4 linked regions of the Saccharomyces cerevisiae S288C genome follow. The protein of the gene in region 4 binds, or shares a complex with, the protein of the main gene of each other region. Each region holds a gene or a part of one and is shown on either strand. Other genes may lie near its edges. The genes, in order: MRP51, MRPS16, MRPS5 and MRPS9.

What was found.
Region 1: MRPS9 (region 4) and MRP51 share a complex: the UniProt entries of both Saccharomyces cerevisiae proteins name them as parts of the mitochondrial small ribosomal subunit.
Region 2: MRPS9 (region 4) and MRPS16 share a complex: the UniProt entries of both Saccharomyces cerevisiae proteins name them as parts of the mitochondrial small ribosomal subunit.
Region 3: MRPS9 (region 4) and MRPS5 share a complex: the UniProt entries of both Saccharomyces cerevisiae proteins name them as parts of the mitochondrial small ribosomal subunit.

What each region holds. Positions count from the first base shown.
Region 1 is NC_001148.4:324,138-329,324, forward strand, and holds MRP51 (mitochondrial 37S ribosomal protein bS1m MRP51), read left to right. Parts: upstream 1-2,490; coding exon 2,491-3,525; downstream 3,526-5,187. Other genes in the region: YPL119C-A (uncharacterized protein), read right to left, coding at 1-150; putative DEAD-box ATP-dependent RNA helicase DBP1, read right to left, coding at 274-2,127; isopentenyl-diphosphate delta-isomerase IDI1, read right to left, coding at 3,727-4,593. UniProt on the Saccharomyces cerevisiae protein: Component of the mitochondrial ribosome (mitoribosome), a dedicated translation machinery responsible for the synthesis of mitochondrial genome-encoded proteins, including at least some of the essential transmembrane subunits of the mitochondrial respiratory chain.
Region 2 is NC_001148.4:527,835-532,184, reverse strand, and holds MRPS16 (mitochondrial 37S ribosomal protein bS16m MRPS16), read left to right. Parts: upstream 1-2,834; coding exon 2,835-3,200; downstream 3,201-4,350. Other genes in the region: mRNA-binding protein RRP12, read right to left, coding at 1-2,462; CIP1 (Cip1p), read right to left, coding at 3,493-4,350. UniProt on the Saccharomyces cerevisiae protein: Component of the mitochondrial ribosome (mitoribosome), a dedicated translation machinery responsible for the synthesis of mitochondrial genome-encoded proteins, including at least some of the essential transmembrane subunits of the mitochondrial respiratory chain.
Region 3 is NC_001134.8:718,073-723,119, reverse strand, and holds MRPS5 (mitochondrial 37S ribosomal protein uS5m MRPS5), read right to left. Parts: upstream 1,731-5,047; coding exon 807-1,730; downstream 1-806. Other genes in the region: DUT1 (bifunctional dITP/dUTP diphosphatase), read right to left, coding at 66-509; SPO23 (Spo23p), read right to left, coding at 2,516-4,087. UniProt on the Saccharomyces cerevisiae protein: Component of the mitochondrial ribosome (mitoribosome), a dedicated translation machinery responsible for the synthesis of mitochondrial genome-encoded proteins, including at least some of the essential transmembrane subunits of the mitochondrial respiratory chain.
Region 4 is NC_001134.8:533,088-537,792, forward strand, and holds MRPS9 (mitochondrial 37S ribosomal protein uS9m MRPS9), read left to right. Parts: upstream 1-2,172; coding exon 2,173-3,009; downstream 3,010-4,705. Other genes in the region: YBR144C (uncharacterized protein), read right to left, coding at 148-462; alcohol dehydrogenase ADH5, read left to right, coding at 675-1,730; RTC2 (cationic amino acid transporter), read left to right, coding at 3,488-4,378. UniProt on the Saccharomyces cerevisiae protein: Component of the mitochondrial ribosome (mitoribosome), a dedicated translation machinery responsible for the synthesis of mitochondrial genome-encoded proteins, including at least some of the essential transmembrane subunits of the mitochondrial respiratory chain.

The sequences.
Region 1 (5,187 bases), on a different chromosome or scaffold from region 4:
CACCCATTTATGATTGGGACAAGAGCAAAAAAAAAGGAAATTGGGAAAAAAAAAGAGAAAGAAAGCAACAGAATAAAGGGAACTTGATAAAACTGAAGTACCGTGGGTCAAGTAGCGTGAAAGAGTCAATTCATCGACTAATGGATGCATAAAACGTATGACTGTATAGTACTGGAGTGAAAACGAAGAGATAAAGAAAGGAAAAAGGGAGATTAATAAAAAGAAAAAAATTAAAGGAGTTCTATATTTGGATTAGTCTTTTATTCTTTCTGCTTACCACCATGAAGCGTTGCTATTTCCGTAACCGTTTTTCTCATTATCATTTCTAAACCCACCTCCAATCGAACCCCAATTTGATGTTCCAGTATTCCTTGGCCTCGTGCTCCCAAATGAGCCATTTCCACCATGTTTACGGTAGTCTCTTGAACCGTTATTACGACTATTGAAAAAACCTCCTCCTCCCCTAGTTCTTCCACCTCTTGAATTCTGTCTTGACAGGTCACTTAAAAACGTGGGAACTTCTTGATTCGCTTCATTTAAAATTTCCATCAAACCCTTCACAATATTCTGATTATTACTATTGAAGAATGAAGTAGCCACGCCTGTGTTACCAGCACGGCCTGTTCTACCAATTCTGTGAACGTAGTCATCGATGTCGGAGGGCAAATCATAATTAATGACATGTGTGACATTCGGTATATCCAAACCTCTCGCTGCTACAGCTGTTGCGACCAGGATATCAGCTACGTTAGCTTTGAAAGCAGATAAGGCACGTTCACGTTCAGCCTGTGTGCGGTCACCATGTATGGCTGTAGCTTTGAAATTTTGCATGATCAAAAAATCTGTGAGTTGATCCGCCATTCTTTTCGTTTCAACAAAAATCAATGTCAATCCCTTATGCTCTGCAGACAGTAAATCTAACAACGCAGACTTTTTGTCCATGTCATCGACATATAATATTCTTTGCGTGATATTTTCTGAGGTGGAACCGACTCTTCCTACTGATAAAAAAATATAATTATCTAAGAAATCGCGTGCCAAATGCTGGATATCTACTGGGAATGTGGCGGAAAACATCAAGGTCTGTCTATTTTCCACAGAGGGCATATCACATTCTTCAACTATATGGCGAATTTGGGGTTCGAATCCCATATCTAGCATTCTATCAGCCTCATCCAATACCAGGTATTTGATATTAGCCAAAGAAACTTTTCCGCGTTCTAATAAGTCATTCAGCCGCCCTGGTGTAGCCACCAATAAGTCACAGCCGCGGTCAACCTCCCTCATCTGGTTACCGATTGGCGCGCCACCATAAACAACGCATGGCCTAACCCAAGATCTATACGTAAATTTTCTTGCTTCTTCAAAAATTTGGGTAGCCAATTCTCTAGTTGGTGCAAGTACTAAAGCAGATGGATATCCCTTTCTAGAATAAAAGCTCTGTGCTTTCTCGGGTACTGGAGAGGGCCCAGACCTGAATAGCTCCGTGAAGAGCGGAAACAAAAACCCACCTGTCTTACCTGAGCCCGTTTGTGCGCATGCCATCAAATCCCTACCTTTGGTAACTATTGGAATAGAATATTTTTGTACTGGAGTAGGTTTGGTGAAACTAGCAAGTTTGATATTTTCCATTAACAGCTCATCCAGAGGGGGAGAACTAAAATCTAGTATAGGTTCAGGAACATCTTTTCCAGATGCATCTACGGGAATATTATCGTAATTATCAAACTTTATACCAGATGAATGGTAATCGGGATCGTCGTGTACACCAAACAGTTCGGCTTCTAATTTCGCGTTCTTAGGCCCCGGTATATGCTTGCCATTTACCCATCTATTTCCAGATGATTTGTAATTTGAGCTGCCTCCGCGGTTATAGTTCGCACTCGTCCCTCCATTTCTTTCCTTAGAAAAGCCAAAAAACCCGCCATTGTTCCCAGTTTGCCTTCCAGCACGTCTGAAAAAATCACCACCCGTAACCTTATCTTCCTGTTTTGGGGTACTTCTTTCGAATGATGGTTTTCCTCTACTTCTCAAGTGCGGTGGGACATAAGATGATTTGCCGCCACCACCACCATTCTCTTTGTTGTTGATGCTTAAATTAGATACCTTCTGTGGCAAGTCTGCCATTTTTTCTTGTAATACTTTCACTCAAAGGGGTTTTTCTTAAAATATCCTTTAACTGACACTACCGATATCTTTTATAATCATGAATAATCCTTGTTATAAAATAAAGGCATTACTTCAGAGATGACCTTAAGTAACCTTCCCTTAAAATTGTTAAAGAACTCGCGGGGTAATATTTACGTTGACAGTGATATTTGTTTTGAGAAATCAAAGAATGAAGAACTTAGATGTAGAGTTAAAGGAGCAATACGAATAGGTGCCGTGATGAAGAAAAAAAATCATACAGACATTTGCTACAACCCTTGGTGAGACTGTTTCGATCATTTTTCTTTTTCTTTTTCTTTATTTTAGAAAAAATTGAACGAAATGACATTGGCAGAGTTGCTTGGACGGTCGAGAATAGCTCAAGTAGCTAACAATCATAAACCATTGACATACACTGGCAAAAAATTTCATCCAACACATCAAATCATCGAAACTAAGCCATCGACACTATACAGACAAGAATGGGGGTTGAAATCCGCTATTCCTTCGAAAATTAAATCTCGATATTTGGTGTACAACGATTTGGATACGTTGGAAAGAATTACCACATTCGAACCTAGAGGCGGTACGCAATGGAATAGGCTAAGATTTCAAGAAATGGGAGTACCAATTGTGTCTAATATAGGCAGACAAAATCCATTTTTCAAGTACATATCTCGTCCTGAGGATGAGTCTCATGCTAAATTGTCCTTATTCAAAGAAATGAAAGGAGATACAGATATTTCGCCTGCTGCTATGAAGAAGCGTTTGAAGAAGATAACAGCACTAATTAGATCGTTTCAAGATGAATTTAAAGAGTGGCTGGTGGAAAATCATCCGGATGAATTGAAATTGAATTCTAATAAGCTGGAAGACTATGTAGTGAAGTTTCTAAACAAAAAGTTGGAAACAAAAACGAATAAAAAATTTAACACTGAAATCATTGGTACAGGTGGATTATCATACAGCTTGCCAGGAAAGCTAAAAAACTCACCAAATGGTGTCATTCAAAGGACTGTAGTACCCGGTAGAATCTTGAACGTTGTTAAGGAGAACAACGACAATAAATGGCTGGCAGCTATTGGTGGGTTTGTGGCCGATGTGGTATTTTTCCAATCACCACCTAGTTCCTTTAACTCCATGGGAGATTTCATCAGAATGAAAACGTTCTTGTTCGAGATCTTGGAGGCATCTATGGAGAAAAATGGTTCTGTTTCGATGCACGCTAGATTACTCGAACCACAAAATGACAAGACCAGAGAATTTTTCAATAAGAGACCAATTTATAAACCATTGACCTCTAGAAGGGCACGTCGACCATCAGTGGGAAACATTCAAGAGGCCAATAACCTTTTGAATATAATCAAGGGAAATTGAGAAGAGAAAAAAAAAATGTGAACAATCAATGTATATTCAGAGTTCTGTAAATAAATAAAGAAAATAAAGTTTACATATTACTAAGGATTTTTGTCGCCTATTTTTACTATTTTTCAGGTGAAATGAAACGTTTTATATCACATTTTGCTATGATAACAAAGTTATTATGATTTTTATGTAGCCTATATTATTGACGCGTTGTTATAGCATTCTATGAATTTGCCTGTCATTTTCCACTTCAGAAAGGTCATCTAATTGCTCCCACCAGTTGAATAAGTAATTCTCGCAAATAATCTTAAACCAAGGCGTAAACTTGTAACTTGGGTCAGCAAACATAGTTTTCAAATCATTTGGTGAAACCCATTTGAAGTCTCTAACTTCATTGACGTTTGGGTTGACAGTCAAGTTTTCTTTAGCGTTGATCTTATAAAATAGGATGTAATCAATTTCATGTTCACCCCATGGTTCATTGCTTGGTGCCATGTAATGGATTCTGTTTAAAAAGTGAAACTTACCCCTTGTCTTAGTTTCATCTTCTGGAATACCTAATTCATGATCTAGTTTTCTCACCGCCGCAGTAATAGCGCCCTTAATCTTATCGTCTAGCTTACCCTTCAAACCTAATTCGTCATCAATACATAGTGGATGAGAGCAGCATGTGTTAGTCCAAAGATCAGGGAAAGTTATTTTTTCAGTGGCTCTTTGTTGTAAAAGTAATTCACCTTGTTCATTGAAAATAAAGACGGAGAATGCACGATGTAGTAAACCCTTTTCAATATTTTCCATTAAATGACAAACTTTCTTGGTACCGGCACCAATAGCATTATCGTCCCAATCCAAAACAATACAATTTTCATTCATTAACTTAATTTGCTCCTCATCATGACCAGAAAAACATGTTTCTCCGCTTTCGTCATTTGACGTCTCACTAGATCGGGTATTAGGTCTTTGTTGTAATGGAATAATTTCAGGAAACTCTTCCAAAATGTCTTCAGGTGTTTGGTTTTGCACTAATTTGGCGTAACTAGATACTGCACCATGGGGCATACTATTGTTGTCGGCAGTCATTGAGGTGTAATGAATTTTTGGCTTATTTTTACTCTTCCTGTATTCCAAATACGAATACTCTAATATTGAATTAAGTGGGATATACGCCTTCTTGTCACTAGAAAACTGTTTCCTGTTAAATAGATAAAAATGAATAAATAAATATAAATGGAGTTAAGACCGAAAAAGAAAGGCAACCCCCATCGACAAGAAAAGAGTTATGAATAATCATGTTTCTTAATAACAATTAAAGGGAAAAGAATCGGCTGGGCATCGTCATTGCGAAACTGTTGACTGGAAAAATTTCAATCACAATTAAGTTTTGTCCATTTCGTTCCAGCAAGAACGGAAACTTTTACCGATAGCAGCGGAAAAAAAGAAAAAAGAAAAAAAAAAGAAATTAATATAGGCAAAATAGCCGCATGAAGCCCTTAATAACCTATACTATTCTGTGACTGTTATTTATTTACCCTCGTAATATTAAAAATGTCCTATACAATTTCTGTAATAAAACCTAATTTTTTTAGGACCCTTGAGTGTTACCCTGCTCATGTTTTTATTTTTGTTTTAGAGAAATGTAAACAACAGTTTGGGAAAGTTTCAAGAATTGTAAAC
Region 2 (4,350 bases), on a different chromosome or scaffold from region 4:
TCAAGATGATCTAAAGGTAATAATTCTACTATGGTTTTAATTGCTGTTAATCTTGCAGCTTTAGCAGATGTTTGAACAGAGGAGGCGCTATCTACCATGACATTCTCAATATCCGAAATGAATTGGGCGACAGCTGTTGATCCCGATTTCAACTCAGAAAGCTTTGTAATAATTCTATAAGCTCTTTTTTGAATTAGCGCGTCAGCAGAATTTACGGTGAGGCTAAACATTGAGAATAAAGCAGAATAAGACGAGACAGGTAAGTATGTTATCATACATATGATTAAGTCCAATAGTGTCGCTGTCAATTGAGGCTTTTTCTTTTCTTTGTTCACATTTCCGCTACTTTCTTCATTCATAGAATTCTTCAAAAGACCACATACGTTGTTGAAAGTTTTCTCCAAATCTTCCTTTGAAGTAATCTTTAAATATTGATCAATCGTTTCCAAAATATAACTCCTTGCATTTGGAGTGGTTTGAGTATAAACATTGAACAAAACTGCTAGAAGATTCGTTGATTTGGTTGAAAGGTATTCTATATTCTTTTGAGCTTCAGAAATGGGGAAACGTTGCAACAATAAAACGTTGTGAGAAGAGGACTCTTCGGCATATGAAACATTGCTTTCTGCCAAGACCTTTAAAGCATGACAAATTGTAGTTCTTAACTCAACCTCGCTGTATAATAAAGAAGATAGTTCTGAGGCAAATTCGTCAGTGAAGGATTCCCTCAAGTCCATTGGGAGTTCACAAAACCGTGGAAGTGTAGACCAGATTTGGTCAACAATAGTTTGAAAAACTCTCAATTGAATAGATTCTTCCGGGACTTTATCGAACTTAGATTGAAAACTTTTAATGTATGGTGCCAATTCGTTTTGAAAAGTTGCAAGGTTCGCATTTTTCGTATAATCTCTAATAAGCGGTAACAACCAAGCCCTGCCAGGTCTTTCGGAAGATGGATTGTCTAAATTCAGGGGTGCTTCTGCGAGTATCATTTCAGGGCCCATAGCAGAAATGGAGGCTCCGATTACTAATTCGATTTCATTTCTCAAATCCATAAACTGTTCTTCATTTACTCTCCATGTATCGACTATTTTCAGTGATTTTAAAAAGTGAGGATTAGATCTATATCTGAATTTGTTGAATGCTGCCACCAAAATCTTAAGAATTTCTCTGGAACAATGGGAATATCTAATGGATAAAAAGTCGATAAATGTTTTCGCAATTTGAGAGATGATTTCATCTACGTTTTTGAAAACTTTCTCATCCACACTTGGTGTATACAATAACAAATCATCTTTAACAGACTCAGAAAGGATTGAGATAAGACATTGAGAGGCAGCTTGGTACACTTCTGGAGTTTCACTAGCTAAATATGTGCACATAATGTGAAATACACCAGGAATTTTACGTAGCGCTTTCAGTGGTTGATGTGTTGCGTAAGTGGACATACCCTTAATGACCACAGCAATCCAGGACTTGGTTAATAATGTATCGACATTTGAGGGTTTTAATGCAAAAATGGTATCCAAGACTCTTAGGTACTTATTTTCAGCCAATCCAGAAGAAATGGTAGTTTCTGCCATTGTTTTGAACATGCTTTCAAAACATTCAAATGATGCAGAAACGAGATATTGCTCTGAGCTTTTGGTGACTCCCAATAGTACATCACAAAGAGGCTCAATCTGTGAAGATGGCCACTGTCCAGTAGAGACGACTGAAGTAATCAACCTTAGAGAGCGCATGACACTAGCGTTAATGTCTTCCTTTGTTTTCTGTGCTTTCAATTGTTTATTTGATAAATTCGAGAGATCATTTAAAATACCTGCTAACTGCTTGTCACAGAAATCTGCTACAAAAACTGCCGCTACATGCTCTGCAGTTGGTGCAACAGGAGGGTTTAATAAGACCGCATGAACTGCATCTAGCGCTCTCTTTCTAACTTTTGGTCTTACATCTAAAGAAAGTTCAAGTATACCCTGCAAACCTCTTTTTGGAGTGACGTTTAGATCATAAGTATTGTTCCAGGCTTGTGCATCTTGAGCAATAAGAAGAGATTCTAAACAACCAATAGCAGCTCTAATTAGAGGGGCATTAGCCTTTTCTGCAGTGATACATGGGGCAATTTTCGTTAGGATTTCAGAAAACTTCGATCTTAATAATACCTTAGGCGAATAATGAAATATCAGATCTAGAAGATATGTAGATGAGGAAGCCAATTGAATATCTTTTATTTCATGAGTAGATGGGTCTACTGCTTGATCCAATAGTGACATAAAGGAAATGATATAATTTACAATGTTTTTTGAAACATCATTTGTAGCTTGACCTGCAATATTTTCCTCAACGGCAGTTAATATTATAGCAATATGCTTTTGATTCTCCAATTTAGAGTTTACTTGGGAACGAATTTTAGCCAGCTTGTCCTCCAGCTCTAAAAGAAAAGCAACTTTGTCTTGATCCATGATGAACTCTGAGATTTGCTGATTCAATTCGCGAGATGCTGTTCAAAATCTAGAAATTACCTGGTTGAATTCAATCAGTAAAAAAATAAGTTGAACCTTTTCAAACTAAAACTCTTCTCTGAGAGAATTAACTGCGACCGAGGAAGTTCTAATTGCGCGATGAGATGAGATGATATAATTAAAATTTTAAACACTGCAGCGAAAAGAAAAATTTTCACTAATTATGATCATCTATCATTCAGGACGGAAAAAATGAAATAGTACACCAAGAACAGTTGTAAGAAAAAAGGAAGGGGAATATATACACGACTTAAGTAACGGAGGAGTTCTGACTGGTATTCCGTTAAGAAATTGTAATAGAGTTTATCAAGTATGACCTGTGGTCTAGTACGAATAAGGTTAGCTAGATTTGGAAGAAAAAATAGTCCGGTCTATAATATCGTAGTGGCTAATTCCCGTAAGGCGAGGGATGCTAAACCGATCGAGGTACTAGGAACCTACGTGCCGGTACCCAGCCCAGTGACCAAGAGAGAATTGAAGAGGGGCGTTGTACCTATTAAAGACGTGAAGCTTGATTTTGATAGAACAAAATATTGGATTGGTGTGGGAGCACAACCTAGCGAAACAGTTACTAAACTATTACGAAAGGCTGGTATATTAAATGATGCATGGGCCACTAGTAAGAACAGCAATGTGAATAGGAAAGTTGTATTTGAAAGAATGGAAACATTGGAGTGAAAAAGATCGGAAAAAAAAAAAAAAAGAAAAAGAAAGGAAAGCAAAGGAACGTGTTTTAATTGATGCGAGGTGTATATGTATATGTTGTATATATGTTTTACTTGGCGCTTTTATATCTATCAGACTTGTAAATAATACATCTATGGCCAACCAGAAAATGGAGAATGAGACTTGAAATGGAATAAATTAAATTCTTAATCGAATGTGAAGAAAAGAGAAAGTGTAATAGAATTTCATTAAGATAGTGTCATTATAGGTCATGTATTGTGTGCTCCTGACTGTTCGGCACTATTTACCTTTTAAGACGCAATAAATCTCTTTTTAGCTTCAATGATTCATTTGGTAAAATAGAGGATTCTTCAGTGGACACGTTTGCTGTAGGTAAACGAGTACTAGCTAAGGGGGACGATATGATATTGCTACGTTGTCTCGATAGCAGAGCTATGTTAAAATTAAATGCGGAATCTGTTGTAGGCGTTGGCGTGAGTAAAGAAAAGGCATTACTGTTGCTAACACTATTGTTAGAATTTGTGCGGGCTAAGATAGGTTGTGGTTGTAATTCTGAAATATACTGGGACGAGCCATTTCTATTCTTCATTGAGACGTTGGATCTTTGTAAGGAATACCAGTTCAACGTGTTGGTCAGGCTGGTAGTAGAGCTTACATTCGGATTCGAGTTTGTGTTTGATAAGGGGATTGGATCGGTAATATCTGCGTTAACAAACGGGGAGGGAACTCTAAGCATTTCAGAAAACTGTGGTGGGGGTGGTGGGGGTAAAGAAGTTAAAGAAGTGTTACGAGAAAGATAGCCGTCTTTTCTGACCTCTTGCAACAAGCGCTGTCTTACCAATGTTAAAAGCCAGCTATTTCTGTCACATCCGATATCCAATTGTTGAAGCTCAGATTGCTGTATAGCCGCTTTGGCAACTCTATTCAATATTCCTGAGGGAGGGTTTGTAGTATCAAACGGAGTTATCGTAGGATCGCTGCACGTGTTTTGGTAAACTTCTAATAGAAGGCCGACAAACTGCGGTGTGAACGAAGTGAATTGAGCGTTATTGTTGTAAAAGGTATGTTGTTTGAAATTCTGAGCGAAATCGGAAACGGAACTCGCCAGCGAAGAGGCGCTATTCTGTCTGGTTCTATTAGC
Region 3 (5,047 bases), 190 kb from region 4:
GTCACACTGGATTTATCCTGATTTTATTATACATTATACAAGTGTGCCAAAGTATATACACTAAGTTAGTTACCAGTGCTACCAAAGCCACCGGCCCCTCTTGCACTTTCTTCCAGAGAGTCTACAACAACGATCTGGGCATCATCGACAATTTTTTCCAGAATCAATTGGGCTACGCGATCACCTTTTTTGATCGCGAAATCCCTCTGTGAATGATTGAATAAAACTACTTTAACTTCACCGGTGTAATCTCTGTCGACAACACCAGCACCGGTTTGGATACCGTTTTTCACTGCCAGGCCTGACCTTGGCGCAATACGACCGTAGGTACCAACAGGTACGGTGAACGATATGTCGGTGGAAACCATACCTTGACCCATAGCCGGAATGGTAATATCCTGAGATGCATAAATGTCGTATCCCGCGGCAGTGGCAGAACCTTTGGTAGGTACAGTAGCGCTTGCTGAGCGCAATTGAATCTTTAGTACTTTGTCGCTAGTAGCAGTCATTTGGTTATTTTTTGGCTCGCTGTATCAGTGCAAACATCTCATTCGAGAACTTAGTTGTTTCTACTTATTAAATGGTAGCGCGTAATATTTTTCCTTTTATAATTTTCAATGGTAGTAAATCAGAAATTATGGAAAAAAAATAAAACTTGGACAGAAAAAAATATTGCTATGAAGAAAAATTGAATATGCTTATCAGCTCATTTGATTGAGTATGTTGAGATATTTACAGGTATTATTATTGCTGTATTTACTTATGTAAAACGAGAGATAATGGTGCGTGTGTATGTACATAGTATTTCAGCTTGAATAGTAAACTTTCCTGACATCAACAAGCTTTTTGCCTCTACCCAGGGCAACCTCATCCAATGTCTTTTGAGCTTTCGTGAAAGCCTCGATGGTACCTTTAGCTATATTCATATCGTTTCTGGATTTATATACTTTCCCACTCAGATCTTTGATACCTGCACATTCACAAATCTCAAAGATTACATGGTTTACACGTAATCCAAACCCTGGTTTTGCACTTCTTAAATGTAGTTTCACACCATGATACCTAAAATCTATATCACCATAAATAGTTCTGTTTTCATACCTAGGTATTTCCTTCAGGTTCCTTACCGCATCCCAATGAGCTTTAAAGATCGCTTTGGACATTTCTTCACGAGATTTACCTTCTCCCAAACCTACCATACCGTTTTTGTCACCAACGACAACCAAGGCATAGAAAGACGCAATTTTACCCTTCCCAGTCTGATTTGACACTCTTTTCATCACCAGCGGCTTCATAGTCAACTTTCTAGTGATATAATCCGGATCTACACCGGTTTGCTTGTGTAGCCCTGCAGCTACATCGGCGCTTTTCGATTTCCGACCACCATCGTTTGGTAAGCTGACTCCTGGAGGCAGAATGTTACCTTCGCCTGGTAATGGTTGTTGTACCTGGTCCCATCTAAAGATGCTGAAGTTATTATTCTCCTCTTGAGCGTGGAGATGGGGCATGCCTGGTTTGTAATCCCAAAAAGGATGTATTTTGGTAAAATCATCCAAATATGGTGGTGCGAATTCCACGTTACGAGATACTCTGAATTTAGTATCTTCTGGTATCGTTTGTTGAGCAAGTTTTATGGATTTTAAAAGACTTTCAGGATAGTACCTTGATAATAGCGACTCATCATAATGCTGTAGATAACGAACACTAGTCGATAATTGCCTCTTGAACATCTTTACCTATTGATCTATGAAATCTGTTTCTTGTATGGTTTACCGTCTACTTTGACAACAATAACGATAGGTCTTTTAGTGGTGCTTGTATTATTGTCTTGTCAATTCGTCTTTTTTTTTTTTTCACTTTAAGGAACTTTACTCCGCGAATAAAAGAAAGCATCACCATGTAATGAAATATATGGGATACATAAATGTATGGGATACATACGACTGTTACTTGCTACCTCATTTGGAGATCACTAGCTCAGTTGTAAAACTTTTCCATTTGATTGAATAAACTCTAACCTTTTTCATACTGGTAGTAAAAGTCAAACCTACGAAAGTTCACATAATAAGGCCTTCACGCCAAGAGAGTCTAGTGTAGTGTTCTTCAGCTCCTATTGATATACTTTTAGTGCCCAAACACGGGATGTTTCAAGTAATTTTTCCTTCTCTAATTTGACAAGGGAAAATATGGCTAGTAATTCTTGTAAAAATGTCTTCTCCTCAGAGTGGGCGGTGCTTATGTATTAGAACCGGTCGAAATATCATAATATACACCGGCCAGTAGAGAACGGACATGGCGACTTGATACATAAAATGTCTATCTCGGAAGCTGATCAACTTGTGAAGTAGTATTATAGATATCAGCGTGCAAGATACTTACAAAAAGAGAGACCTGTAAATTTATTGTTACGTAAATACATAGTAGAATAAGAAACTAATAAAAAATAGTATATGTATATCATGCAAATAAAAAAAAAAAGGATAAAATAGAGGCGTTGTTCTGAGGTACCGAACATTCATAAGCTATTCTCACCTGCTACCATAGAATATAGTGGGGGTTCATCTTGTAGATCACTAATATTTTCAAATTTTTCATATTTGGGTAACAAAGAGCTGGTCGAAATATCACTATCGCCAACTAAAATTGGAAAATTCACCGTAATACGATAATTTTTTTTCATTTCAAGCCCTTCCACCAATTCATTCCTGCTATAGGTTATTCTGAACAAAAGCAAATGAGTTACTTTGAGGGCAGCATGATTGGGATAAAATGAACTTGGTTCACAGTAGAATGTTTTAAACCAGCTCGGTAGACCATCCGCATAGGTTGGGATGACAACGTCATCAAAGCAAAATCCGAAAATGGTCTTGTCGGAATCGAAACTTTGGCTTTCTACAGTTCTTAGTAAATACTCGGACTTTTTAATGTATGGCTCTCGTAGTATTTTCTTGGTCTTCAAATCAATACTTGGTATTGCCATTCTCTGTGCAACTGCCAAAGAAGCTTCCTGTAATTCAATGGAAGAATCTGTTTTGGTAATTGATAATATCATTTGGAAAGGCATACCAATTTCAATCAACTTGGAGTTTCCAATGACCGATACTACGATCTCACTTGCAGTATTGTATGACCTTAATTGAAATGTTTCAAACTTAAGCATACTCGTTGAAGGCAGGACTCTTTTAACTTTAATTTCTTCTGTTAAAATGATCTTATCTGTAAAACTTTCATTCTTCAAAAATTTGAGTAAGTTTTTAGGTTTACTTGGTATTCTCATTATTGTTGTTAAGCTTTCTATTCGAAAATGGGTCTTGCCAAAGAAGGAAGAGAAACTTGCTGGGAAAGTATTTGCTTGAAGGGTAAAAGTGAATGGGTAATCGTACGTGCCCTTTGTCAATAGAATTTTCTTATCATTTAATGAGTGGTGTATGACTCTCAACTGCTGTTTGGGGTAGGTGGAAGACTCAAAAAACTCTGTGTGATTAAGTTCTTTGATAATTTTGTCACTATAGGAGTTTTTGCTAGTTTCTGAATTTACAAAGCATGCATATTCCTTTGTGAAACATTTTAAAGAAATTGAATGGGAAGTGATTAAGAGGGCCTGGTCTTCTCTATCAATGTTTATCCTAATCTTTCCTTTGATTTGTAGAGGAGTGGCTCTTTCTCTTTCAACATTTGTAGATATATTATCCAGTGAGGAATCGTAATACAACGGATAGTCAGCATTCAATTGTAAATCGGAGAACATTAGTGTTTTGTACTTGTTATCTAGATACAATTCAATGCTGTAACCACATTTTTTATCTACAGATGATGTTACATAGGGATTTTCGTACAGCCGTAGTGAATCATAGCAATACTCAAGGTCTTCCTTAGCCTTCTTGATTGTAGTGCCACCATTTTTTAATTTCTTGAGTTGAATTAATTTTTTTGGTAGTTCACCACTGAAATCTTCATTACCAAAATGCTGCCTTATCTCGCTTTGTGTGGAACTTTCAGTCAGAGTAGTGGATCTACTAGATATATTTTCCGAGAACACTTGTGAAACCTCGGAATTAAGTGAAGAAGATGAAGACGAAAACAACATTAGTCAAACAAAAAAGGGAAATTCTATTTGTCTGATTTTGTTGCAAGATAACAATACTGGCAAACATGGGCTTGAGTGCTTAGGAAGAAATCTTGAGGTAGCAGTAACTTCTTTTTATTAAACAGTATGCAGCCGCCCAAAAAACTGCGATGTCGCCATTAGTTATTTTGTGACACAAAAACAAAATCGAAAACAAAAGAAATAGAAAGAAAAAGAAAAAAACAAAGGCTAAACAAGATTCCATTGTGCAGATTTAATGTTTACAATATAATTACATTCGCTCTTTTTGACCCCAGCTGCACAACCCACATAATTCGCATAAAACAATAACAATTGGCCTAACATAGATGCCAAACACACTTCTGACATAACTGAATGCTAGGGTAAAACTCCACACAGGTTTTTGAACACGAACTGCCAGTATACAGCTAGCCTTGAAAGTGATGGAAAACATTGTCATCGGCACATAAATAAAAAAATTATGAATCACGTGATCAACAGCAAATTATGTACTCGTATATATGCAAGCGCATTCCTTATATTGACACTCTTTCATTGGGCATGAGGCTGTGTAAACATAAGCTGTAACGGTCTCACGGAACACTGTGTAGTTGCATTACTGTCAGGCAGTTATGTTGCTTAATATAAAGGCAAAGGCATGGCAGAATCACTTTAAAACGTGGCCCCACCCGCTGCACCCTGTGCATTTTGTACGTTACTGCGAAATGACTCAACGATGAAATGAAAAAATTTTGCTTGAAATTTTGAAAAAAAGATGTGCGGGACGCATTGTTAGCTCATTGAATACATCGTGATCGAATCCAATCAATGTTTAATTTCATATTAATACAGAAACTTTTTCTCATACTTTCTTCTTCTTTTCATTGGTATATTATCTATATATCGTGTTAATTCCTCTTTCGTCATTTTTAGCATCGTTATAAGAGTAATTAAGAATAA
Region 4 (4,705 bases):
GAAGATTATATAATGTAACAGAAAAAGTTTTAAAAATTTTGGAATAAAGGAAAAGGTGGTTGGGGAAGAGAATAGAGCTACAGCAAGTAAAAAGGTGCTTTCCTCGAAGTTGCGTCGAAGATGAATGAAAGTAGTTGCTAATTCTTACTAGCACATGAAAAAAAAGGATATATATAATTTTACAAGTAGTGTCTTCATGACGGATTCATAGTCTATCCAAGCGTTTGCCCAAAATTTTGCAGTAAATTTAATGTTTTCTGTATAGGATAATGGTGCGCCATTCAAGTCCCGCGAAAAATGACTGATGTCTACAGGACAGGGGCGCAATATATGTTCTCTGACATTGCACCTTTTGAATATATCATGTGTTTGTTCTGCTATCTGCTTGTAGAAGGGTACGCTAACAGAGCCGGCGGCATTGTAAAAAGTTCTCCTTTCGCGGAAGGATGAGTCAAAAAGCATGTGACAATGAAATAATCAAATTGTGACATCTGCTGACGCGGGATCGTTCCTTCGTATTGTCTAGATTGTAATCTATATAACATACTACGAATATAAAAGAGGGACTACAAGATATTTCTAGCGCAAACTACTGCTTTACTGTCTCACAATGTCTCTGATTGGAAGATACCTAAGAAAATTATTTAACTACATATCTACAAAATCAAAGCATCATGCCTTCGCAAGTCATTCCTGAAAAACAAAAGGCTATTGTCTTTTATGAGACAGATGGAAAATTGGAATATAAAGACGTCACAGTTCCGGAACCTAAGCCTAACGAAATTTTAGTCCACGTTAAATATTCTGGTGTTTGTCATAGTGACTTGCACGCGTGGCACGGTGATTGGCCATTTCAATTGAAATTTCCATTAATCGGTGGTCACGAAGGTGCTGGTGTTGTTGTTAAGTTGGGATCTAACGTTAAGGGCTGGAAAGTCGGTGATTTTGCAGGTATAAAATGGTTGAATGGGACTTGCATGTCCTGTGAATATTGTGAAGTAGGTAATGAATCTCAATGTCCTTATTTGGATGGTACTGGCTTCACACATGATGGTACTTTTCAAGAATACGCAACTGCCGATGCCGTTCAAGCTGCCCATATTCCACCAAACGTCAATCTTGCTGAAGTTGCCCCAATCTTGTGTGCAGGTATCACTGTTTATAAGGCGTTGAAAAGAGCCAATGTGATACCAGGCCAATGGGTCACTATATCCGGTGCATGCGGTGGCTTGGGTTCTCTGGCAATCCAATACGCCCTTGCTATGGGTTACAGGGTCATTGGTATCGATGGTGGTAATGCCAAGCGAAAGTTATTTGAACAATTAGGCGGAGAAATATTCATCGATTTCACGGAAGAAAAAGACATTGTTGGTGCTATAATAAAGGCCACTAATGGCGGTTCTCATGGAGTTATTAATGTGTCTGTTTCTGAAGCAGCTATCGAGGCTTCTACGAGGTATTGTAGGCCCAATGGTACTGTCGTCCTGGTTGGTATGCCAGCTCATGCTTACTGCAATTCCGATGTTTTCAATCAAGTTGTAAAATCAATCTCCATCGTTGGATCTTGTGTTGGAAATAGAGCTGATACAAGGGAGGCTTTAGATTTCTTCGCCAGAGGTTTGATCAAATCTCCGATCCACTTAGCTGGCCTATCGGATGTTCCTGAAATTTTTGCAAAGATGGAGAAGGGTGAAATTGTTGGTAGATATGTTGTTGAGACTTCTAAATGATCTTTTGTAACGAATTTGATGAATATATTTTTACTTTTTATATAAGCTATTTTGTAGATATTGACTTTTTACGATTTATTTGTAACAATGAGAATTACTCCATTTCTGAACTTCAGTAAATAGCGAGTGATTCTGTACTTTGCGAGAACCGGTGGACATTTGGTATTTTGCCTTACAAGAACAACCTATACAAACGTTTCAATATCTAATTCTTTGTAATCCATTGTTTTACGAGACATATAATGTGATATATAGATGAACTTTACGTATAAAATGATATATTTAAAACTAGCAACTGCGTGCGTAAGACAAACTGAAATAGGCCATTTACGGAAAAGAAATTTAATAATGTCGACTGGAAACTGAAACCAGGAGGAGTAGAAATTGGTTAAATTGATTAGCTAAAATTTACTCGTTGTGGACAGAGTTTGAGCCAAGCGGAATGTTTTCAAGGCTTTCTTTGTTTCGAAGGGCAGCTCTGGCTCCTGCCCCTATGAGAATGTCTTTTAGGACTATTTATCAAAAAACCGAGGATGAATTGCCCAGAAGGATCGTCCCAAAGCTAGCCACATTTTATTCGGCGAATCCTAACCATGAAGATCGTATTAATCGACTCGAAAGACTTCTAAGGAAATACATAAAACTGCCATCTCAGAACAACAATGAAGCACAACAAACAAAAGCTCCTTGGATTTCTTTCGATGAGTACGCTTTAATCGGCGGTGGTACGAAATTAAAGCCTACGCAATATACTCAGCTACTGTATATGTTGAATAAACTTCACAACATTGATCCTCAACTTACTAATGATGAAATCACATCCGAACTATCCCAATATTATAAAAAAAGTTCAATGCTTTCCAATAATATCAAAATCAAAACTTTAGATGAGTTTGGAAGAAGTATAGCCGTTGGAAAAAGGAAAAGTTCCACTGCGAAAGTATTCGTTGTTAGAGGTACAGGTGAGATATTAGTTAATGGTCGACAATTGAATGATTACTTCCTTAAGATGAAAGACAGAGAATCAATCATGTATCCACTTCAAGTGATCGAATCAGTTGGAAAGTACAATATTTTTGCGACAACGTCTGGAGGCGGACCTACGGGTCAGGCTGAATCAATCATGCACGCCATTGCGAAAGCTTTGGTTGTGTTCAATCCATTATTAAAATCCAGACTACATAAAGCTGGCGTCTTAACAAGAGATTACAGGCACGTCGAAAGAAAGAAGCCAGGAAAAAAGAAGGCAAGAAAGATGCCAACATGGGTCAAGAGATAGTCTTAGTGCATCTTGTTACCTCAATTTCGAACGGAAGCGTGCGTGCTCTGAGTTTTTTGACACATGCCAGAAGAAACGTTATATATTTTGCATACAACGCCGCCCAGCATTAGAAGCACAACTCTCGTTCGTTATTCCTGTAAATAAAGTTATATGTATTCGAATATTGCTCAGTTAGTATTTTCTTCTACTTACTGCACATAATACTTCATCTTTTTTTTCCTCTCACCCGCAAAGCAAAGGGGCCTTGCAGCAATGACTCAAATTCCATTGGAAAAAAGAAGGAGATGATAAGATGCAAATCAGAATAGATTTTACTATGACCGTTACATGTAAAAAGAGTCATAATATAAACCATAAATACTACAAATAACACCGGGTTCAGGCATATAAATAAACTATTCTCCTGTAATATCCCACAATATTTTGTTATAACCCAGACGTAATAGCCTCAAGCGAGCATCCCTAAATTTCTGCCATGAAGCTGATCCCAATTATTTTGAATGCTAAGAATCTCAGTGGGATGGCTGGATCCATATCAATATGCTGTTGGATTGTTGTGTTTGTACCACAGATTTATGAAAACTTCCGAAGACAGTCTGCGGAGGGATTATCACTGCTTTTCATTGTGTTGTGGCTATTAGGTGATATATTTAACGTCATGGGAGCTATGATGCAAAATTTACTCCCAACCATGATAATTTTAGCTGCTTACTATACATTGGCAGATTTAATTTTGTTAATACAGTGCATGTGGTATGACAAGGAGAAGAAGAGCATTTTACAAGAAGTCAAGAAAAATGTTGATCCTGTGCATTTGCCTCCAGCAAACCCCATAAATGAGACTGTCTTACAAGACGTTTTTAATGAATATGAGCCACTTTTGCCAAGGATAGAAGAAGAAGATAGCCAATCGTATAGCTCGCTTGAGCTTGGCAGAACAATAGTCGTAAAGGAAAGAGAGAATTTTTTCAATGACTTCTTAATTGTTTCAGGTGTACTTATTGCCGGAATTTTGTCATGGTATATATCTTACTGTTCCGGCCTAGATAACGGTATTCCTAAAAAAAAACCTGCGTTCGAACAGATTAATTTACCTGCACAAATTTTAGGGTATTTAAGTGCGATACTGTACTTGGGCTCTAGGATCCCTCAGATTGTTCTTAACTTCAAAAGAAAATCATGCGAAGGAGTCTCATTCCTATTCTTTTTATTTGCATGCTTAGGGAACACTTCTTTCATAATCTCAGTGCTCTCAGCATCTTGGCTTATCGGTAGCGCTGGTACGCTGTTGATGGACTTCACAGTTTTTATTCAATTTTTCCTTTACGCCAAACCTAAATACGAGAAAATACTAATAGATAATTAACTAGTTGGCTTCTATTAATCTTTCCACTTAAAACTCAAACTTACTCATATGCGCATCGGCTATAGCCCAGAACTAGTATTTTCATTTTATGGAGGAAACAAAATTACTAGCGCCATCACGGCTCAGTCGTTATTTTGGCGATGCCCTTTGCTGACACGCGTCTGAAAAAATACACAAAAAATAACACAAAAACGAGTAATGCCATTTCCTGGGTGGGGTCTCTATCCATAGAGGAAAAAAAGTGACAGGAAGGGGACAAATTCAACTATTCACTGTAGTCATCTAATAATTTTTTTAACTTAATCACACCAACAAAAACAAAAAAAA